5 linked regions of the Macaca fascicularis genome follow. The protein of the gene in region 1 purifies or fractionates together with the protein of each later gene. This does not show direct contact. Links are inferred from orthologs where the notes say so. Each region holds a gene or a part of one and is shown on either strand. Other genes may lie near its edges.

Region 1 (5,072 bases):
CACTTAACTTGTACAGTGCTCCCAGCAGGTTTGAGCAAAACCTGAGATTCTTACTGAGGTAGAGGACCAGACAAATCAGTTTGACCTTGGATCATGCACCCTTAGCTTTAATGGTAGAATCTGGTGATAGAGACTAGAAACACCATCACATTCATAAGACCCTATCAGGATTTAACTGTATCTTAGAACCAACCAGAAAAAAATGTTTAATAGAGAATTCTTGCACTGTCCTTAGAGATCCTTGGACCAGAATGCAGAAAGGAGGGCACCATTCTGTGATTTGCCTCTGCAACTGGGGATCAGATCATGTATTTGCTGGAGGAAACAATAACTTGGCAAACTCTCTCTCCTCTCTTTCCATGTGCTAGGCAAGTGATGAAAGAGGAGTGAGGCTGACTTCAGCTCTGTCACAGATGTTGACTCACCACTGGTCTGCCTTCTCTCTCCCTTGCCACTCCCTTCCTTCTGCCAAAGTTAGCATGCTGGATCAGTAGGATGCAAAGCTGCGCATGACCCTTTTTGGGGCTGGACACTGTCATCTGGCCAGATAAACTAACAGGCTAGCAAATCCAGTTGGGGCTGGTTGTACTTTGCCCACGTCTGTTGCAGCATATGGTGCATTCACTTGAAGTGACTGACAGAGCTATTTAACTTTGCAGTTTGTTCGTCTGATGCCCCTACCCAAATACCACACATACTGTCACATATTGGTGAACAGTCTTCAGTGTGGTTGCAATTCATGGCTATCATAAGGGGAATACTTTAAAATTGGATTTGAGCTCCATAGTTCCTAAGATGGCAGAGCTGGACAGAAACATTTGGAGACATACCCTTTAATTGGCCCCATAAATTTATACAGAAAGAAATTGAAGCAGAAAGATTGAGTGACTCCCGCAAGGACTCACACAGCCAGTTAGTATTAGGACTAGAGCTAGAACCTTCGACCCTGACTTCCAACTCAGTGTTTTTTCCAGCTCAGGCTGTTCACATGTTGCCTTTCATTTTATCTCCAAAATTTGGCCCCTTGGAACCTTTCCTGGAATTGGACTTCTGAGCCTAAAGTGGCTTAATGCACACTTTTGGGAAAGGATAGCCAGGAGGCCTCTAAGTGGTTTTGATCAAGTTTGCCAGTATTTACACCCTAGGATGATCTGCATAAACTTCATAAATAATGTAAATTCCTACAAAGTGAGTTAACAGTGAGCTACATGGTCTTTTGAAAAATCCGTGTTATGCAATCACCCTGGCAAAGTTAACAACGCAATAGAGTACTGAAGGTAACCACTGATTGCAGTCACTGCTATTGACCATTTTAAGTGTGACTATTTTTAAAATACTGTATGCCTCATTAAGCTGGGCTCTGAAAATGAGGAATTTGCTTTAACTGCATTGTTTTGAATTGCTGAGAGAAGAATCTATCAACCACAAGGTGCCCTGCTGCTGAACTCAGCCAAAAAGCTGTTAATAACTCCAGCAGATGTTTCAGCTTTTTAGGCCAATAGACTCCCTTTCTCCCTGCCCTCCCCTTTCCAGAATCTGATGCCAATATGACTGAACTCCAGTTTTTGTGGTGGTTGTCGCCACCGCCGCCGCTGCTAGGGCCGGTGATACAATGCCGCTGAGGAATGATCCTTTAAACAACCGGTGGCCACAGAACCTCAGCCCTTTAAGGTCAGAATATTATTGCTTTTACCATCAGAAATTTAAATCTTCAGGGGGGAAATGAAGGTAAGGGCACAAATTCAGTATCTTTGTTTTGTTGTCTGCCTTCATTGCTAGTCATTTTGTTTAGCTTTTTGTGGCTTCTCCCAATGCTAAAAGTGCATTTCTCAGACTCATCAGAGTGCTGGGCTTGCTAAGGTTAAGGGTCATTCATACACTGGAGGCTCCACTGATCCGGGAGAGAGGTTCTTGGGTTAGCAGCTTTACAAAGGGGGCCTCTGCGTGATGCACAGTTTTGTGTGGTTGTATGCCTGATACCGTGTGGCTCAGATGCCCTGACCTTAGCACTTCTGCAATATTAGATGTGAGTTTTATAAACACAGCTACATCCCTGTGAGATAGGTAGAGTATGAGGGCACACAGGGTCACCGCAGTCCCATACCAGGATTTATCAACATCTCTGAACTGGGATAAACCTGACATTGTCACCTGAAATTAAATCTACATTCCAATCTTTCCAAATGAGAAGACGTTAGAAATAAAGGCGGAGGAGAGATCCTGCCCCCTTCCCTGACACTTCCTGCCCTGCCTCCTACTCAATTATTTTGGAGAGGGTGCTTTAACACACCCTGGTGACAACAGGGTGACCAAGAAAACACAGGTGCACCGCATTATGAAATGCTGTGTTGGCTAGGAACACATCTGAACTGCACATCTATACACATCATCATGCAGAGAATTGCCATTTCAAGGGGGGAAAAAATGAGAGGCAGAATTAAGTTCATAAATATTTTGTTTCCTTATTTTGATGCAACACAAAGCCAGAATATCCAGGACTCTGTGGACCTCTATTGTCAGCTTCAACATTTGCCAACCATAGTAATTCAACCCCCAAATCTCTGCTGTATGCCATACTGGCTGTAAAAAGTAAGTGCCTTTTCCCTGGTGTCGCTGCCACCATACTGTTTGCATGCTCTCAGCCCTGTATCATTCTAATTCTCAAGAAAAGCTCAGGAATACAACGCAAGCCCCGCCGCCCCATCACTTTTTTAACTTGGATAAAGAAATAGATTACATTGTGACTTGGTCCACATTCTCTTAAGTACATGTGCAGAGAACTCATTAATGCTAATGGAATTTGCGCATATGCATTGAAGGGAGAATATAGTTGCCCGTGCCTGTGTATTCTTTATTTTCTTACTGTACACTTGAGGGTTCTGTGGCACCTATAGCTTCTAATTCTGAAACATGAGTAATTCAGATTAAAAAGTATACCATTCATTTTGAAATATATTTCAAAAGCAAATGGGATGGATATTTCTGCTTAGATCACTATGATTCCAAGAAGCCAATACCAGATGATGATTCTTTAGTAAAATAAGCAACCAATGTTGTAATAATAAAATACGGTTAAAAAAAAACAGCAAAAACTCGCTACTGAATCAGTAGAAAATATATTCTCATTATTTAAAAAATACCTACAAAATAACCCACATGCATGTCTAGGGGAGTAAAAACACAAGATGATGGGGTAAAAAAGAACTGAAAATAATCATAGGTAATCTGAGACTCCAAGCCTGCCAGCAGTGAATATTGGTGACAGGCATTAACAAACTATGTGGGGATGTCTGAGGCCCAGCTAAATCCAGACCATGTACTTCATTAGGTCTTGAACTTTACCTGGAATCTTGTACTGCAAATGATGATTTCCAAACTGTTTTGTTCTTGATTATTTCCAGTCCAAGTAAAATGGACAATAAAGAAAAGATGCTTCCATGCTGTTTCCATGATGGATGTTCACAACCAAAATAACTTCACCATCTGATGTATTTCACAGTTTTAAGTTAAAACAGACATACTATAATATGCTTGTACATCTGGCTCAGGTGCTTCATTTGCCATATGTTTGTGAAATAATCCAAGGAGATGTTACAATTGTACGTTCCCCTTGGGACTTGAAGAAAATGTGCCCACAAAGAGTTACCTAATTATTCATTCCTGCCAACAACATCCTCTCCTAATAAGAAGGTGGTTCTTAAAATGAGACAATAGTGCTTTCAGTCTTGAGAGATGTCAGTACCACTTATTGTTTCAGAAACAGAAAATCTTATGCATTTTTTAAAATAAGAAAAAGATCTTTGGCCTTTAAAGCAAATAAAATACTCTGCAGGCGGTATATTTGGTATTCTTGTGGGGGCAAATTCTGCAGCGCTGATCAAGGCCTATTATTTCCTGAAACTCATTGAATTAAAGCCCATGAAGCCACATAGAAATTAGTGACCCAAAGTTGATAGTCTCTAAGGAATGGCTGCTCTGGCAATACTATACATTTATGGAGAACTTTGTAATCGGCAAATTGCTTTCATATATGTTACCACATTTAATTCTTATAATAATTTTGTGAAGCAGGTAAAAAAAGGCATCCCTTGTTTAATCATGCCACTTGTAGTACTGATTCTTCACAGCACTAATAAGCAAAATATGAACATCTTTTTTTAAAAAAATTGTAAATTACTTTGGTCTTTACCAATAAATACCACTTGCCATAGCACACATTTCTCTCTTTAAGAGTCATTGACAATCTGCTTTTTTCCCTCTTTTCCTGTTATTTGCATCCTTCTAAACTATGACTTTTTCTGATTCTATTTTAATTAAAAATTTGATTTTCTTTTGAGGATTAAAAAGTAGAGGGAGAATTCGTTTATTGGTTAAAATACAAGCTAACCATCAAAATTCAGATTTTAATGAGGCCCTAAGCCAGGACAGAAGTCAAATGCGTAAAGCATCTTCTAGGCCTAGCTTCATCCATTAATAAATCAATTTGGAAAAATGTGGCAATGATGAAATTATCAGCCAATAAACCTCCAATAGTGTGTTAATTGTATATTGACTGAAGTAACAAATTACATGGGGGTTGAATTTTCACAGGGACTGGAATAAAAGACCCTAAGTAGGCAGATTAAGTTACAGTTTCTTTTCCCCCTGAAACACAAACCTCAGTGTCAAACAGGAAACAAAGGATGAGAGACAGAGGGTAAGAGATTTGCCTCAGGTTACCCAGCTTGCAAATGGGAGTCCATGCCAGATCATCTCCCTCCACAGCGCTGGGAAACAACAGCAACTATTAAATACAAACGATCTCTTAGCTTTTCTAGTAAATCCTAACATTTTCTCATTACTCAATGTATAATACTTCCAATTTGTGTATAATATTTCCATTGAGAGGGAGACAGAGTTACTATGAGGAAATAATTAATTTTGGTCTCTTGTTGGGGTGAGTGAAATTCAAGAGAAAGTTCAGAGAACAAGTGTAAAAAACATCTCTCTAAAAAAGAAAATGCCGCCGGTCTTCCCTGATCCTACACACAGGCCAGTGGTGACAGCTATAATCATGGAAAGGGGCTTGTGTA
Region 2 (4,446 bases), on another chromosome or scaffold:
GCCATTCTCCTGCTTCAGCCTCCCAAGTAGCTGGGACTACAGGCGCCTGCCACTGCGCCCGGCTAATTTTTTGTATTTTTAGTAGAGACTGGGTTTCACCGTGTTAGCCAGGATGGTCTCGATCTCCTGACCTCGTGATCCGCCCTCCTCGGCCTCCCAAAGTGCTGGGATTACAGGCGTGAACCACCGTGCCCGGCCGGATTTCAAGTTAACCACCATGGACTGGTTATTTTATTTTGTTTGCAGATTATTTTAGGCATGTGAGTTTTAATTCAAAGACTTATTTTTATTATTTGAAATCAGTTTTTACTGCATTTCATTATATATTTTGGGGACTATATGATAAAAGATTATCTTATTTCTCTTGAGATGTTAAAGTTATATACAAAAAATTATGTATATAATGTTGTGTCTTGTTTCAGGTCCAATGATGCATCAGCAGCCTCCTTCTCAGCAATACAATATGCCACAGGGAGGCGGACAGCATTACCAAGGACAGCAGCCACCCATGGGAATGATGGGTCAAGTTAATCAAGGCAATCATATGATGGGTCAGAGACAGATTCCTCCCTATAGACCTCCTCAACAGGGTGAGATTCCATTTGGAAAATTTGCTACCTCATGTAATTGAAAGGCTGTACATTTTAATGACCTTTTAATCTAGACAAAGTCAGGACTTTTTGTTTCGTTTTTCTTCTTTTTTTTGTTTTTTTAACAAATGATAGGGTTCTACTAGGTACAAAGCTGTCACAAAGTAGATAAGAACTTCTTGATACACAGCTTTCTTTTTATCTATTATTTTCTGGAAAAAGTTATATCATAAAATTATGTATCAAAAGCTCACTAATTTACAACAGAAAATACTGTTTTGTTTTTGAAAAATTATTAAATAAAGGATCAGGAATAAACCCAATTTTACCTCACAGCAAAGGAAATACATTTGCTACCAGTTTGAACCTATTTTTAAGAAGTTAGCGTTTGTTTTTCTGAGTTGGTGTTTTTTGATATTGCATGTATGGTCTTAACATTGATTTTAGTAAATGTGGTATGTGGAGCTGCTCTGTGTGTATCTGTATGCGTATGTATATGAATAGCTAAAGGTATCTGAAATGCAGGTATCAGGAGACAGGAATCTATAGTTGAGAAATAATCTTTCATATCAAATTAGAAAGAAAGCCTTTGATGACATAGAGAATACATTATTTATTTCTTGACTGGTTGTCATTTTTCAGGCCCACCACAGCAGTACTCAGGCCAGGAAGACTATTATGGGGACCAATACAGTCATGGTGGACAAGGTCCTCCAGAAGGCATGAACCAGCAGTATTACCCTGATGGTAATCTCTCCTGATGTTAACTTTCCCACTTTCTATCTCTGCCTAGTATTCATGTAGAGAGTTATATAAAAACATTTTAATGAGGATGAAGAAGCTAACAATTTGTTTCTTCTAAATTTAGAAACACTTCAGTACTCTAAAGTACCAATGATAGCATTAGTTTATAATCTAATTCAAAGTGTATTTTGTGTAGCTGTTCCATTAGTACCATCAGGAATCACAGTCTGTCATTGGAATCCTTATATAAAAGAGGATCCTTTTGTAATATATTTAGGGTTGTTTGATTTCAGCAAAAGCTTGTGTTTATTGATTTACTCTTTTTTTAATAAGAGCTTCATTAAGATATAATTCACATAACATAAAGTTCACCCTTAGTTGACTTGTATTCATTGTACAAATACATAGAGAATATAGTTCTTGAGTTATTTTTCCAAGTCTCATCATTTTAATTAATGTTTCATACTTCTCAACAAACTAAGGTTTACATTAGTGCTTGCCTTTGAGAAAAACTTGGGAGACCAAATTATATCCATAATATAGCCGTGTAGAGATTGAGTAGAATGGGACAGGCATTTGGAAATAAGGTTTTTAGTTAGGGTTTTTTGTTTTTTGTAGAAGGTGGCTTGTGAAAAATTGGTTAGTAAGATGCACAGTACTTTAGGAAAATTTGAATAGCAATAATCCAAGCATACAAGTAGGTTTTCACAGTATAGTTTCATCCATTTTTCTGTATGCTTGGAAATTTTGTAATACAATGTAGAAGAAAAAAGTAATTCAAAAATACATTACAAAATGGTATGGGTTGTTAGGATTTGCCAAAAGCCTTGTTCACATATATGATCCTTTGATGTAAATATAAATTACTGAACAGAGAAACTAAGAAACTTAAAGCTAAAGTACTAGCAGACATTGACTAGCAGCCCATGTAAGCTAGCAAGAAGGTATAATTTAGGATATTTGAAAAAAATCTCGCCTGTCATTTTTTATTAATACATAAAGCATAAAGGTACATTTGTACTTAAGGACGTTGGTTTTTGTTTTGTTTTGTTTTTCTTTTCATATGTAAACATGGTATTAAGATTTTTTTAAAATTAAAAACTTTAGTAAGGTTGTAAGCTATACATATTTTAAAGATGTGAAATCTTTGTTAAATTATATGTATTGAGAAGTTGGCTGAAAATAAATGATTGTTTCTATGTTTTTAAATTTTAATTACATTTTAAAGAGTTAAACTTGACATTGTTATTTTGATCCTGGCTGTCTCTTGAAATGTGAAATTTGTTTTGTTATAGTATAACCTTTCTGTTCAAAATATACTGGTTTGTTATTTTGTGAATATCAAAACGTTAAGGTTACTTTCTTTCATTTTATTAGTGGATTTTAATTTGAAGGGTATCATTTTTGCATAGGTGTGTATTACTTTATATCTGACATTTACATAGAGTATTCTATTTATATCGACAATTAATATTTGTAAACAACATTGGCTCTTTTCTCTCATGTCCGGATATTTATGTTAGTAAATATATAGATTAGGAATTGGCAAACTTTTTCTGTAAAGGGCCAGATAATAAATACTTTAGTCTTTGTGGGCCATATGGTCTTGGTCTCAACTACTGAACTCTTATTGTAGCATGAAAGCAGCTGTGGACAATACTGAAATGAATGGGCATGACTGTATTCCAATAAAATTTTATTTACAAAAACATGCCACTGGCCATATTAAGACTGTAGGCCATAGTTTGCCAACCCTTCATGTAGCTATTTATGAGGTGGCTTGGGAACATTAGAATACTAGAGCACTGAATAATGTTTATTTGTAATTTTTATTCCTGTGTCCTTAATTAGGCATTTTTGTAAAATTGAGTTTAGATTTTAGATAACTAAAAGGTTATTTCCTACATTTTCTTAGTGAAACTTAAAAAGAGAGTGAGACTATTATTTTTCACTAGAGTCCAATTATCTCGAAGGTAAAATTTATTGTGCTTTAAAACTGAAGATATACTCTCAACACAATATTAATTTTATGAAGATGTATGTTTATGATACTTGAAATATTTTCTAAAGATTTCCAAAATGGCAGCATTAAGATATATAATTTTGTATCTGAAGATACTTTGAGATACTTAAGTTTATGCAAGTAAATGTTAGAACATGAAAATTTTTCAGTTTCTTTCAGGGGAGAAACTTATGGAGCTCTTTTATATTTTGCATTGTTTTTAGCATATGCTGTGGAATTGGAGACCAGCAGAACAGGTGTTTGACAAAATATGATAATTACTTCCTTTGTTCATTCTAATTTAATTTAGGTTATTTACATGTGAAAGACCTAGATACTTTTATTCTCTTTTTTTAAAATGGGAGATAGTTTTTTTTTTTTTCCCTCAATGAGGATTATCAGATTTAAAACAATAAGTGTAATGTTTCTAAAACTACTGCTTTTTGCTTTTAAAAAAATTGCACGTTATCTCAATATGAAAACAATCACATTGGTAAATCTTTGGCTAATGCAATTGAAATTATTTTTTATGTTCCATTTCTTTTCCTTTTTTTTCAATTTTATCTGAAAGTTTAAATATTTTTAGGGTTTTCACTCAGTGGCCATTAACGTTTCTTCCTGTCTCTTGTCGAATTGATGTAGGTCATAATGATTACGGTTATCAGCAACCGTCGTATCCTGAACAAGGCTACGATAGGCCTTATGAGGATTCCTCACAACATTACTACGAAGGAGGTATCTATATACCTTCACACACATACACATATATATCCCCTTCTACAGGAATGAAAATTCTTGCATAAGACAACTTCTACCCATGCAAAGCTCTTGTAGAATACTAGTTGCTGGCTGTCTTGAAAGGTGCAGGGAGCCCAAAACAATCAAAATAATTTCCTTACAAATATTTAAAATGTATAACCATGACTTGCCATTTCTAACATTAATAAAAAGACTAAAACATTAAAGATAATTTTTTCCTCAGTGGAAATTTTCTATTTGAACATAAATCCATCCAACTTTTTTTTCTCGTGTGTGTTTACATATGTATAATTTTACATATAAGTATAGTGCCTTTAGGAAACAGCTTGCTGATCTCGTGTAGCTAGTGTG
Region 3 (5,011 bases), on another chromosome or scaffold:
AAAAGTAAAAAATAAATGGTTATTTTTGTTGTTGTTTGGTCTGAATGTTCTACTAAACTGGAAGCTCAGCTAGTCATGGTGGCTCATGCGTGTAATCCCAACACTTCGGGAGGATCCCTTGAGACCAGGAGTTTGAGACCAGCCTGGACAACATAGTGAGATCCCATCTCCACATGAATAAATAAACTGGGCCGGGTGCGGTGGCTCACGCCTGTAATCCCAGCACTTTGGGAGGCCGAGGCAGGTGGATCACGAGGTCAGGAGTTCAAGATCAGCCTAACCAACATGGTGAAACCCCATCTCTAGTAAAAATACAAAAAAATTAGCCGGGTGTGATGGCGGGCGACTATAGTCTCAGCTACTCGGGAGGCTGAGACGCAGAATTGCTTGAACCCGGGAGGTAGAGGTTGTAGTGAGTCGAGATCACACCACTACACTCCAGCCTGGGCAACAGAGTGAGACTCCATCTCAGAAAAAAAAAAAAAAGACAGGCGCGGTGGCTCACGCCTGTAATCTCAGCACTTTGGGAGGCCAAGGCGGGCAGATCACGAGGTCAGGAGTTCGAGACCAGCCTGACCAACATGGTAAAACCCCGTCTCTACTAAAAATACAAAAATTAGCTGGGCGTGGTGGTGCGTGCCTGTAATCCCAGCTACTCTGGAGGCTGAGGCAGGAGAATCACTTGAACCCAGGAGGCGGAGGTTGCAGTGAGCTGAGATCATGCCACTGCACTCCAGCCTGAGCCACAGAGCGAGACTCCGTCTCAATAAATAAACTGGAAGTTGTTTGAAACCAAAACCACGTATGTCTTCAGTTTTTGGTACAGAGTCCTGCACAAAATAGGCATCTTTTATTTATTTTAGAGATGGGGTCTCCATATGTTGCCCAGGCTGGAGTGCAGTGGCTATTCACAGGTGCGATCATATCACAGCTGACTGCAGCCTCAAATTCCTGGGCTCAAGTGATCCTCCTGCTTCAGCCTCCCGAATACTTGAGACTACTAGATACTCGAGAAAAGGCAAGAATGTGGTCTGAATGTTGGGAAAGCAGTTCATCTGGTGAAGAGAGGAGAGGATTCCAGGTGAGGAACAGGTATGTGCAAAGGCCAGAAGGCATCCTGAAGAAACGCGAAGAAAGGCGTGGTTGGAGCACAGCGGCAGAGCCAGAGGGCAAAGGTGCTGGACAGGAGAGGCGGGAGGACAGAGACAGCGCAGGAGCGCGGTTCCACAGGGTCAGGTCCCTAACACGCTGGCCAGAGCAGGGAGCCGACCTCCAAACTCCCAGGGAAAAGAATCAGTTGCCCACCGGCAGCACCTCACACCTCGCCCTGACTACAGCACGTGCGCCCGGCCCGCCTCGCACCCCGGCCCGGGTGGGGGCTCAGGGGACTCCCGGGGCGCTCAGGAGGGACGCCCCGGGCGGGGCGCGCAGGCGCGCTGAGGCCGCGAGCCCCAAGGGGCGGGCGGGTGCGCGCGCTTCCTCGCGCACGCGCGCACAGAGGGGGCGACGGCCGCGGTGACGCTGCGGCGGCGGCGGCGGCGGGCGGGCGGCGGCGCGAGGCGCGCGATACCCGGTGTCTTGGGAGCAGTGCCCTGGCCCCCGCCGCTCCCGCCGCCGCCATGTCGGGCCGGTCGGTCCGGGCGGAGACCCGCAGCCGGGCCAAAGACGACATCAAGAAGGTGATGGCGGCCATCGAGAAAGTGCGGAAATGGTGAGGGGCCGGAGGTTAGGGGGCTGGCGGGGGTCGCGGGTCCAGGCCCTGAGGAGCGCGGGACTGGCGAGTCGGGTGGGAGCCGACCGGCCGGCGCTGGGGGAGGGGGACGCGGGAGAAGGCGGGAGGAGGGCGCCGCTGGCGTCGGCGTGAGGTCAGAGGGCGCGCCGGCCGCGGCCAATCAGCGGGCCGCCCAGTTCGCGGGCCCGCCCACCTGCTGCGGCTGCGGTCGCGCGCTGCCCGGGAGGGGATGCCGGCTTCCGGCCCGTGCTGGGGCCGCCTGGCCTCGGTGTCGCCGCGCCCGGCCCAGCCGGGGGCCCGCCCTCCACTCTTCCTGGGTTTTGGCCCCGCCTGCGTTTCCAAGCTGGCCCTTGATAATAGCGAGTATCCCTGGAGTGATTTCAACCCGCCAGGCTGAGAGCTCTGCGTATTCAGGCATTGAAGTTGGGTGAGTTTATGGGTTTGTCTGTTAAGGGAGGAAGCCTGGTGTCATCCAAAGGAAAACCCCTCACTTTCCCCCAGAACCCGGCCCCTGCGCCGCGAGCTTGGTAGGCATTTTCTCTTGCTGCCCTGACGGCTGTCAGGAGAGTCCTTTGCAAACTATGTACCAGCCTCCCTTTAATTTCTCTGGTTCTGCTCTTGCTCATTACCCAGCCCGTTCATCGTCTGCACTGAGTGATTTTATTTTTCTCACTTCCAAGTAGCAGTGGTCTTTTTAAAGTGCACGTCCTTACTTGGGAGGCTGTGGTGGGAGGATTGCTGGGACCCAGGAGTTGGAGGCTGCAGTGAGCTATGATCGTGCCACGGCACTCCAGCCTGGGCTACGGCGAGAGACCCCATGTCTAAAATGTGCATGGAAGACGCCGGTTGAGCACGTATTTTGTATCCAGATCTCCGATACACACTGTGTCGGTGTGTATCAGAGTCATCACGTTAAACTTTCATAGCCAACTTTGTCAAGTTTTTTGTATAGCCAATTACTACCCATTATTAAAAACCCAAGTATGGCTAGGTGAGGTGGCTCAGGCATGTAATCCCAGTACTTCGGGAGGCTGAGGCGGGCGGATCGCTTGAGGCCAGGAGTTTGAGACCAGCCTGGGCAACATAGTGAGACCCGGTCTCTACAAAAACTAAAAGTTCAAGTAGATATTACCTCCCGCCAGGAAGCCTTCCTTAACGTCTCCCACCCCTCACCCTTTACTCCCTTTAAGATCATTGGTACATTGACCTTTATTTGTGTGTTTATCTGTCCATTTCCACACAAGAGGGAAGTTCCTTCTCTTTCTATGTCTGAGGGCTTCATATATAGTTGGGTTTCCGTATAAATAGTTTAATTTATTCATGGTTTTCCTCGTCCACCTTTAATCCTCCAAGATTTTGGTGAAACCTGAGAACAGGCACACCCTTCTCTTCTCCCCATTTTTGACCCCCCGCCCCTAGCAGGCTAGGCTCAAGGGCCGTCCTCTGTCACCTGGAACTCTGTACCAGCCTCTTCTCTCTCTGCTGCTCTTGCTCATTCCCCAATCTGTTCATTGTCACCGAGTGATTTTATTTTTCTCTCTTCCGAGTTACAGAGTGATCTTAAAGTGCACAGCTTTATTTGGGAGGCTGTGGTGGGAGGATCGCTGGAGCCCAGGAGTTGAGGCCGCAGTGAACTATGGTCATACCATGGCACTCCATCCTGGGCAACAGAGCGAGACCCCATCTGTAAAAAATATATAAAATGTGCATCTTATGCTAGCACCCCTAGTAATGCTTCAGTGGTTCCATTCTTGCTTTTAGGATAAATACCGAAGAAGGCCTTCCTTCCTGCCTCACTTGGCTGGCTCTTTCCCAGGATGCCCACCGTCTTTCCAGTGAAGTCACTCTGCTCTTCCTGCCGCCTGGCATTCTTCTTCCTCTCTTTTCTCCTCCCTCTTGCTGAGTTAACTCCTAGCGCAGCTCAAAAGTTGCTTCCTTAGGTTCACCACTTGAGATTCCCAATCTAGATCAAGTCCCCTTCACAGAACTTTCCACGATTGTATTAGATGGACTCATAAGACATTTCTTATATTTGACTTCTGTTTTGTTTTTCTTTTTAGACAGAGTCTTGCTGTGTCACCCAGGTTGGAGTGCAGTGGTGCAATCTTGGCTCACTGCAACCTCTGCTTCCCAGGTTCAAGCAATTCTGCCTCAGCCTTCTGAGTAGCTGATTGCAAGTGTACACCACCACACCCAGCTAATTTTTGTATTTTTGTAGAGACTGGGTTTCACCATGTTGGCCAGGCTGGTCTTGAACTCCTGACTTCAAGTGGTCCTCCCACCTCGACCTCCCAAAGTGCTGGGATTACAGATGTGAGCCACTGCATCTGGTCTCCTGTATTTGGCTAATTAACCTACAAAAATGGCAATTTGATATGGTTAAACCTAATAATTAAGTGACTAATCCTGAATTGAGCTATTCATGTCTGTTTCCAGATATAAGACAGGGTCTGTGAGGGCAGGGACCATGGATCTTGTTCTCTGCATCGCCAGGTCCTAGCACAGCCTGTTGTAGACTAATTGGTTGAATAAATGAGAAAATGGAGTGGTCTGTTCAGGAATTCTAGTTATTTTCTAAGACTTTAATTCATTCCTTCTGTTACATCACAGTCTTTTTACACTCCCAGTATGTCTTTTTTTTTTTTTTTTTTTGAGACCCAGTGTTGCTCTGTTGCCCAGGCTAGAGTACAGTGGTGTGATCTTGACTCACTGCAGCCTCCGCCTCTGGGGTTCAAGCAATTCTTTCGCCTCAGCCTCCTGAGTAGTCGGGATTACAGGTGTGTGCCACCATGCCCGGCTAATTTTTGTATTTTTAGTGAGGACAGGATTTTACCATGTTGCCCAGGCTGGTCTCGAACTCCTGGGCTCAAGTGATCCACCCACCTCAGCCTTCCAAAGTGCTGGGATTACAGGCGTGAGCTGCCGTCATCATTTGCTGAACAACATCAACAATTACAACAGCAGTTACTTTTTTTGCTTTTTCGTGACTTCACATTTGGACTTGACCCTTTGAGAAGTTGGCTCAGATCTGTGACAAAGCAGTTCTCTGCATTTGGCCCTTGTTCCTACTGACAGCAAGCACCTCTTAAGGTATCAGTGGACCTTACAATAAGCAGATTCGTTCTCTGCCTGGCATGCTTAGGGAATAACCTTCTTGGAATGAAGGAGAGGCTGGGCACGGTGGCTCACGCCTGTAATCCCGGCACTTTGGGAGGCTGAGGCAAGAGGATCGCTTGAGCCCAGGAGTTCAAGACCAACCTGGGCAACATGGTGAAACCC
Region 4 (4,284 bases), on another chromosome or scaffold:
ACTCCAGCCTGGGTGACTGAGCGAGACTCCGTCTCAAAAAAAAAAAAAAAAAAGAAAAGAAAAAAGAGAAATATGCCTTCCAAAGTGCTGGGATTACAGGCATGAGCCACCACACCCAGCAAACACATCTCTTATAGTTACTTTTGCATGGCATATCTTGTTACATCCTTTTACTTACAAACTATCTCTGAGTATAAAGGCACCATATACAGTCATGTGTTGCTTAAGGATGGGGAAACATTCTGAGAAATGGGTCATGGGCGATTTTGTCATTGTGCAGACATCATGGAGTGTAGTCACACAAACCTAGATGGTATAACCTGCTACTACAAATCTAGACTGTATCATATAGACTATTGCTCCTAGGCTACAGATCTGTACAGCATGTTACTGTCCTGAATACTATAGGTGACATATATAATTTTGTAACACGATGGTAAGTATTTGTGTATTTAAACACAGAAAAGGTACAGTAAAAATACAGCGTAAAAGATAAAATGGCATGCCACGCTGGTATACCACGGTATGCCATGGTAAGTACCTAGGGCACTTACCAGAATGGAGCCTGCAGGACTGGAAGTGGCCCTAGATGAGTTAGTAAGTCAGTAGGGAGCGAATGTGAAGTCCTAGAACATTATGGTACACCATTGTAGGCTTTATGAATGCTGTATATATAGGCTACATTAAATTTACAAAGAAGATTTTTTCTGCAGTAATAAATTAATTTTAGCTAACTGCAACTCTTGGTGCAAATGTAATTGCGGTTTCGGACCATGAATTTTAAATCATTATAACTAGGCTCAAACACATCTTTATTAATCAAAATTCATACCATTACAATCAACCATTCCAATCAACACATTTTTACAATCAACACATTTTTTCCAGTGAGAAATAAGTTTGTTTATTCCTGTATCGTAATAATCTGTGCTTTGGGATTCAGAAAACTCTTGGAAAGCATTTTCTGCATCGTGCTGGGTGTGGAAGCGTTTTCCTTGCAAAAAACCGTTGGGATGCGTGAAGAAGTGGTAGTCAGTAGGCAAGAGGTCAGGTGAATATGGTGGATGAAGCAAAACTTCATAGCTCCATTTGTTCAACTTTTTTTTTTTTTTTTTTTTTTTTTGAGACAGAGTCTCGCTCTGTCACCCAGGCTGGAGTGCAGTGGCATGAGCCACCACAACCTCCACCTTCTGGGTTTAAGCAGTTCTCTTGCCTCAGCCTCTCGAGTAGCTGGGATTACATGCGCCAGCTATCATACCCAGTTAATTTTTGTATTTTTAGTAGAGACGGGTTTCACCATGTTGGCCAGGCTGTTCTCGAACTCCTGACCTCAAGTGATCTGTCCACCTTGGCCTCCCAAAATGTTGGGATTACAGGCGTGAGCCACCGTACCCAACCTCAACTTTTGAAGCGTTGGTTATGCGATGTGTGGTTGCTGTCATGGAGAATAACTGGGCCCTTTCTGGTGAGCAATGCCACAGCAGGCCTTGCAGTTTTCCGTGCATCTCATCCATTTGCTGAGCATACTTCTCAGATGTAATGGTTTCACTGGGATTCAGAAAGCTGCAGTGGATCAGACCAGCAGCAGACCACCAAACAGTTACTGTGACCTTTTTTTGGTGCAAGGTTGGCTTTGGGAAGTGCTTTAGAGCTACTTCTCAGTACACTCATAGAGCTGGTTGTTGCCGGTTGTCATATAAAATCGACTTTTTGTCGCACGTCACAATCTGATCAAGAAATGGTTCATTGTTGTTGCATAGAATAAGAGAAGAAGACACTTCAAAATGACTTTTTAAAAAATATTTGGTAAGGTCATGAGGCACCCACTTATTGAGCTTTTTCACCTTTCCAATTTGCTTCAAACGCCAAATGGCCATAGAATGGTCGATGGTTGAGTTCTTGGGCAACTTCCCGTGTAGTTTTAAGAGGATCAGCTTCAATGATTGCTTTCAGTTGGTCATTGTCAATTTCCGATGGCCGGATGTTATGTTCCTCATCTTCAAGGCTCTCATCTTCTTTGCAAAACTGCTTGAACCACCACTGTACTGTATGTTTGTTAGCAGTTCCTGGGCCAAATGTGTTGTTGATGTTGCGATGTATCTCTGTTGCTTTATGACCCATTTTTAACTTGAATAAGAAAATTGCTTGAATTTGCTTTTTGTCTAACATCATTTCCATAGTCTAAAATAAATGTAAAATAAACAGCAGTAATAAGTCATTAAAAAAATAAAGTGAGAAATGCCCATTAAAATGATGTATAACATAACCACATTTATTTAAGAATGTATTCCAAAATCAAATGGCAAATTCCAACAATTACTTTTGCACTCACCTAGTAACTTTATACATTTTTTTTTTTTTTTTTTTGGTGAGATGGAGTCCCGCTTTGTCGCTCAGCCTGGAGTGCAGTGTCGTGATCTCGACTCATGGCAACCTCCGCCTCCCGGGTTCAAGCGATTCTCCTGCCTCAGCCTCCCAAGTAGCTGGGATTACAGGCGCATGCCAACACGGCTGGCTAATTTTTGTATTTTTAGTAGAGACGGGGTTTCACCATATTAGTCAGGCTGGTCTCGAACTCCTGACCTCAGGTGATTCACCCGCCTCAGCTTCCCAAAGTGCTGAAATTACAGGTGTGAGCCACCTCACACACCCAAACTTTTTAATTTTTTAAACTTACTGACTCTTTTGTCAATAAACTTATTAATAAATGTTATTACACTTAAAGTACACATTGTACAGCTGTACAAAAATATTTCCCTTCTTTATATCCTTATTCTAGAAGCTTTTTCTATTTTATTTAATTTATTTATTTTTTGAGACGGAGTCTTGCTCTTGTTGCCCAGGCTGGAGAGCAATGGCATGATCTCGGCTCACCGCAACCTCCGCCTCCTGTGTTCAAGCGATTCTCCTGTCTCTGCCTCCCGAGTAACTGGGATTACAGGCGTGCGCCACCACGCCTGGCTAATTTTGTATTTTTTTTAGTAGAGATGGGGTTTCTCCATGTTGGTCAGGCTGGTCTCAAACTCCTGACCTCAGGTGATCCACCCGTCTCGGCCTCCCAAAGTGCTGGGATTACAGGCGTGAGCCACCACGCCTGGCCAACTTTTTCTATTTTAAAAAGTATATTTTTCAATATTTTAAACTTTTTTGTTAATAACTAAGACACATATACACACACACACACATCAGCCTAGGCCTACACTAGGTCAAGATCATCGAGATCACTGTCTTCCACCTCCACATCATGCCCCTCTGGAAGGTCTTCAGAGGCAGTAACACGCATGGAGCTGTTATCTCCTATGATAACACATTCTTCTGGAATTCCTCCTGTAGGACCTGCCTGAGGCTCTTCTTGAGGGACTATCACTCTTTCAAAAAATGTCCATAGTGGTTTGCTTGGTTTCTTTCTTTTATTTTAATCATACATTTGCTTGTAAACAGATAATGCACCACAAGCATATCTCTCTATTAATGAAAACCATTCAGTGTGGGGGTCCATGTTTTCAACGTTTTAAGGAGTTTGTTGAGGTCTGCAGCAGCTTCTGCTAAACCCTTCACTGTGAATTTTCTTCTGGGTTTTTCTTCTCCTGCAGTTTTTTTTTTCTCTTGCCTCTTCTTCAGCTATGTGTTCCTGTTCCAGTTCCAACAGCTCCTCGTTAGTCAATTCCTCAGGAATTACCTCTAAGCACTCTACCGTGTCATCCTCATCCACACCCAGGTTAAAATTATTTGCCACCTCAACCACAGCTTTATTGATTTTTGAAACCTCCTCATCCTTGACAAATACTTTGAAGTCATGGACCAACCTTTTGACCGTCTTCCTCCAGATGGCATTCATACCGCATGGTGACATCACCCCAAGTCTAAGCAGGGTTCTTGATGCAGTCACAGATGTGTTGTAATCCTTCCAGAATTGTCTCAGTGTCTGCTCAGTGTCTTCCTCAGCTGCAGCAATCACCTGGGCAAAGGTCTCCTCAGGTAATAGGCCTTAAAAGCTGCTATACCTCCATGATCCATTGGTTGAAGCAAAGAGGTGGTGTTTGGAGGGGAAAACACCACCTAGATATTGGGATGAATATCACCAGTAAAAGGAGGATGTACGGGAGCCTTATAAACAATAAGCAAAATCTTGAAAAATATATTATCCTCCAAACAGTATTTCTGCATTTCTCTGGCAAAACAATTCAGGATTGCATCTTGGAAGAGGAGCTAGGTCCTCCATGACTTCTTACCGCTCCTATAGTACACTGGCCATGCGTGCTTACTGATGTGCTTAAAGGCCCT
Region 5 (4,446 bases), on another chromosome or scaffold:
GAACAGAACTGCAGGGGCCTGCTTCCTGGACCCCAGCTTCTGTTTCAGTTCTAGAAACTGCATGGCCCCAGTGAAGAGGAGGCTGATTTCCATCAAAGCTCCCTTAGCCACAGGGATAATCTTGTACCTTTCGCGCTCGACTGTTGGTCACAGGAAACTCGCCCAGGCTGTCATCATCAACTCGGGGATCCGGGGCGCCTCGCTTCTCCAGGGGGTCAGTGCGCAACAGAGCCTCTAAACTACTGCCATCCTGAGAGATCAGCCCCTCCTTCTTCAGGGTTTGGTCTGTGTCTGCAAGCAAGATCAGGATGAAGCAAAGCTCAGAATGGCTGAAAGCAGACTGCTCTGAGTCCACATAATGCTAGGGCTTACCAAAGGTCTGTCACTGTCTTTTGTTCCCCGGATGCCCAGGAATTAAGACACCCTAGTTCACTTGGCACCATAACTTATCTGTTTACCTGTCTCCCCTTCTAGACTAAGCTCTTTAAAGGAAAGAATCACATCATATTCACTTGAGTATATTTGGGATCTAGTACTGGGCCTGGTATATCGTAGTGATTAGCAGGCTCTAACCATGCAGCAGGCCACGCCTCTGCGCAGGAAGTATGTGCCTTACCTGGCTTAATAGATGGGAAGGAAAGTCGTGGATCCTCAGGCGGATGGGCTCGCCGCTTTTTCCGCCAGCGCCGGGCAGGGTAGGAGTACAGCTGTCCAGAGGCCAATCCTACGGCAGGAAGAAAGATAGAAGTCAGGCCCTAACCCAGTATTAGAAAATAATACCAAACACTTTCTAATTACGTAGTCTCCCCCTTTTGAGTTCTAGAGCAAGGGAGGAATTCTGACAGTGAGGGCCTAGGGGGTTAGATGGAACAGTCTGTGGAAAAGAAAAATAGATATATAAGCTTAGGGGCCTTGGCTAATACATAGTTCTCCAGACACACAATGGCCTCAGCAGGGTAGAAAACAAAGATGCTGGTATCAACCTATCTGCTTCATCCTCCCTGCGTTTCTAACCACAGGAAGACCATATTCATCCATAGGTGGAAGGCAGTAGGGAAAACCCTATCAACTGTCTCATCACCTAAGATGAGGAGGCTTCTTCCTCCTTATGCTCCTGAGTCCCCTTCTCCCAAGTCTGGACCCTCACCTGGACCCCGGTGTCGCTTTTCCATCCAGATGTAACAATTGCTCTGGGCTACTCCGGTCTGTGAGTCCAAGAAAGGCAGGCGCACGCTGCGCTCAGCACAGAGGCGAGCGTTGTAATTGTGGCACTGCTCCATGGCATCTTTGTAGTACTGCTCCCCAAGGCTGCAGAGAAGATAGAAACCAGGCGTGTGTGTTGGAGTGAGGAGCATAGGGTGCTGAGCTATTCCTCTCCCCTGTCATCTGCTTCTCTAGAAGGCTCAAGGGACTGGGAGGCTGTCTCTTCCATTCTATTTGCCTCCACTTCTGCCTCACGGGACACCAAGCCCCTTTTCTAGGCCACCATTAGGAATTACTTTACGAATAAATTACTATCAGGAACACATGATTTCATCATATGTCTAATCAGACTTAAGTCTAACCCCCAAAGAGGGTAAGGAACTAATGTTCACTCCATGTGTCTCACAAGCCCAGCCCTGTGCTAGTTAAGATGTTGTTTCTCTTAACCCTTATGACGCTGAGAAGCAAACAATAGTCCCCCCTAAGTTCCTCCTTATTTCCTCCTTCCTAGAATCACCTCCCAAATAAACTACATGCTCCCACATCCTTGCCCCAAGGTCTGCTCCAGAGGGAAAGAGTTCAAGGTCTAGGGGGCTTATTAAAATGTATTCAGCAAACTAGTAAATCCATACAATGAAATTCTATTTAGCCATAAGAAGGAAGCTCTTCACATACTGATATTAAAGAATTTCAAGTTAACTAGGGACAAAAAGCAAAGCAAGGTACACTGCTGAGAAGTGTCAAAGAAAGCTATCATTTATGTAACAAAATGGAAAAGAAACTGCAGGTCAGCAGGGAGAAAAAGTGGGTGACTAGGCCATTTCCTTCCATATGCCTTTTTATAGCTTTTGAATTTTGAACTAGGTTTTTAATCAACTAATTAATTTTACATTTATGGAAGATATCTACAAGTACCTGAAGTTCCTTGAAGTTTTTATTGAGCGCCATCACTGATAAGAAACTTGTTTGCTCTAAGGCCCATCTTAGGGTGCTTCTCTATTCTTACAAAATAAAATTATATAGGAAAAAATCTCCTTGGTCTCAAAAGACTCAATTTGAAATCTGAATCAAGGGTAAACCTTTAAGTGGAAAACTGGAAAACTGCACAGTGCCAGGTTCTAAGAAGCATGTACGTAGAACCTATCTTGTTCTCATCTTGCAGGGTTTAACCAGGACTTTGGTAATGGAGGTTAAACAAACTCTATCAGTTCATATTTATATTCAATCAATCTATGTTGCCCAAGCTAGACACAAACTCCTGGCTTAAGTGATCCTCCTACCTTAGCCTCCCAAGTATCTGGGAATAGAGGCATGTGTCACAGTACCTGGTGTCAATCAATCTTAAACCAAAGGCAGAACTGATTTCTTTCTCATAGTATCTCCAATACTCACGAAGATGTCTGAGATACAGTCAGACCTGACTTGAGAGTAAAAAGACCTGGCTGGCCTGCAAGTCACCACATGAACATGGACATTTAGTCAACCCAGGTGGACCTTGGCTATTCTTCTATAGATTGAGGAGGTTGGACCAAATGAGCTTTGACATATCAGGATTTTACAAGAAACAGCCTGGGGATGAAACAGCAAACAGATTAAGTCTCTGTGGTTTCTGTCCATAACTCGGGCTACACCAAAAAATCCTGATCTGGAATGTGATGGGGGCCTTCAGCGAGCAGCCACGATAGACCACTGCATAACTTACCATGTGCCCAGCAAGTAAAAAAGACATATAGCACACACAGAGATGGCAACGCCACAAATACGGCCTGGTATGATTCAATGAGCTGTAATGACTGTAATCTGAGGTAGGCACGAATCTCACGTTGGAGAGCAGAATGGAGAAAGCAGCCTCGCCTCTGCGAGCTCGCCTTTAGGAGGCAGCCACGTCTTCACCACACAGAATAAAACTGGATAAACAAGGCTGAGTGCCGCAGCTCCTTTGTTTCTGCTGATGGGAATTGATACTGACACTGGAAGTCAAATGGAAGGCAGGGCCAGGCTGGCGAGGGCTGCAAAGTCAGAGCAAGGAGGCTGGAAACAGTATTGGGAGGAATGAATGAAAGATGTTCTGTCAGGGCTCTTGTGAGCTACGTGGGATCTCAAAAGGTAAAGCAAACAGTCTTGGGGATACAAGGGCTGGGAATGAAACATGGAAGTGTTTGTGAGGGGAGAATCTGATGAAGAGAGAACAGGACAGGATGAGGGTGAGCTCTTAAGAACTTAAGGGAGGCTGGGCACAGTGGCTCATGCTCCATCACTTTGGGAGGCCAAGGCCGGTGGATCTCTTGAGACCAAGACTTAGAGACCAGCTTGGGCAACATAGTCAGATCCCATCTCTACAAAACGTTAAAAATAAATAAACCATCAGCTAGGTTTGGTGGTGCAGGCCTGTGGTCCCACGTAGTCCCTGGGGTGGATGAGGTAGGGGAATCATTTGAGCCTAGGAAGTTGAGGGTGCAGTAAACCAAGGTTATACCACTGCACTTCAGCCTGGGGGACAGAGGGAGGCTCTGTCTCTTAAAACAAAACAAAACAAAACAACAACAACAAAAACTTAAGGCTCCAGTACCAAGAAATGTCAAGTTAACATTAACACTGTTCTCTCTCTCTCTCTCTATATATATACATATATATCTTTTCGAGACAAGAGTCTTGCTTTGCCGCCCAGGCTGGAGTGCAGTGGCGCAATCTCGGCTCACTGCAGCTTCTGCCTCCTGGGTTCCAACGATTCTCTTGCCTCAGGCTCCCGAGTGGCGTGCGCCACCATGCCCAGTTAATTTTTGTATTCTTAGTAGAGACAGGGTTTCACCATGTTGGCCAAGCTGGTCTCAAACTCCTGACCTCATGATCCGCCCACCTCGGCCTCCCAAAGTTCTGGGATTATAGGCGTGAGCCACCGGCCCAGCTTCATTTTTTTTTTTGAGATGGAGTCTTGCTCTGTCACCCAGGTTGGAGTGCAGTGGCGCAATCTCGGCTTACTGCAACCTCCACCTCCTGGGTTCAAGCGATTCCCCTCCCTCAGTATCCCGAGTAGCTGGGATTACAGGCGCACGCCACCACGCCCAGCTAATTTTTGTATTTTTAGTAGAGTGGGGTTTCGCCATGCTGGCCAGGATGGTCTCAATCTCCTGACCTTGTGATCCGCCCGCCTCGGCCTCCCAAAGTGCTGGGATTACAGAGCCACCGCGCCCAGTCGCCTCTTTCTTTTTTTTAAGACAGAGTCTTAAAGTGTCACTCAGGCCG

What was found.
Region 2: the proteins of SMARCA2 (region 1) and SS18 purify together in Homo sapiens (affinity purification with mass spectrometry; 6 studies listed by BioGRID and IntAct, counting the BioPlex papers as one, with this or other methods). This does not show direct contact. The link is inferred for Macaca fascicularis from reciprocal best matches to the Homo sapiens genes SMARCA2 and SS18.
Region 3: the proteins of SMARCA2 (region 1) and BCL7B purify together in Homo sapiens (affinity purification with mass spectrometry; 3 studies listed by BioGRID, with this or other methods). This does not show direct contact. The link is inferred for Macaca fascicularis from reciprocal best matches to the Homo sapiens genes SMARCA2 and BCL7B.
Region 4: the proteins of SMARCA2 (region 1) and BCL7C purify together in Homo sapiens (affinity purification with mass spectrometry; 4 studies listed by BioGRID and IntAct, counting the BioPlex papers as one, with this or other methods). This does not show direct contact. The link is inferred for Macaca fascicularis from reciprocal best matches to the Homo sapiens genes SMARCA2 and BCL7C.
Region 5: the proteins of SMARCA2 (region 1) and DPF2 purify together in Homo sapiens (affinity purification with mass spectrometry; 6 studies listed by BioGRID and IntAct, counting the BioPlex papers as one, with this or other methods). This does not show direct contact. The link is inferred for Macaca fascicularis from reciprocal best matches to the Homo sapiens genes SMARCA2 and DPF2.

The regions. Positions count from the first base shown.
Region 1 is NC_088389.1:97,176,988-97,182,059, reverse strand, and holds the start of SMARCA2 (probable global transcription activator SNF2L2), read left to right. Parts: upstream 1-1,531; 5' UTR 1,532-1,671; intron 1,672-5,072. UniProt on the Homo sapiens protein: ATPase involved in transcriptional activation and repression of select genes by chromatin remodeling (alteration of DNA-nucleosome topology).
Region 2 is NC_088392.1:63,738,158-63,742,603, forward strand, and holds part of SS18 (protein SSXT), read left to right. Parts: intron 1-422; coding exon 423-590; intron 591-1,232; coding exon 1,233-1,337; intron 1,338-3,978; coding exon 3,979-4,071; intron 4,072-4,446. UniProt on the Homo sapiens protein: Appears to function synergistically with RBM14 as a transcriptional coactivator. Isoform 1 and isoform 2 function in nuclear receptor coactivation. Isoform 1 and isoform 2 function in general transcriptional coactivation.
Region 3 is NC_088377.1:52,421,236-52,426,246, reverse strand, and holds the start of BCL7B (B-cell CLL/lymphoma 7 protein family member B), read left to right. Parts: upstream 1-1,494; 5' UTR 1,495-1,619; coding exon 1,620-1,711; intron 1,712-1,966; exon of another isoform or gene 1,967-2,159; intron 2,160-5,011. UniProt on the Homo sapiens protein: Positive regulator of apoptosis. Plays a role in the Wnt signaling pathway, negatively regulating the expression of Wnt signaling components CTNNB1 and HMGA1.
Region 4 is NC_088394.1:29,026,107-29,030,390, forward strand, and holds the end of BCL7C (B-cell CLL/lymphoma 7 protein family member C), read right to left. Parts: intron 2,182-4,284; coding exon 1,828-2,181; 3' UTR 798-1,827; downstream 1-797. UniProt on the Homo sapiens protein: May play an anti-apoptotic role.
Region 5 is NC_088388.1:9,035,665-9,040,110, forward strand, and holds part of DPF2 (zinc finger protein ubi-d4), read right to left. Parts: intron 1,309-4,446; coding exon 1,148-1,308; intron 725-1,147; coding exon 617-724; intron 292-616; coding exon 128-291; intron 1-127. UniProt on the Homo sapiens protein: Plays an active role in transcriptional regulation by binding modified histones H3 and H4. Is a negative regulator of myeloid differentiation of hematopoietic progenitor cells. Might also have a role in the development and maturation of lymphoid cells.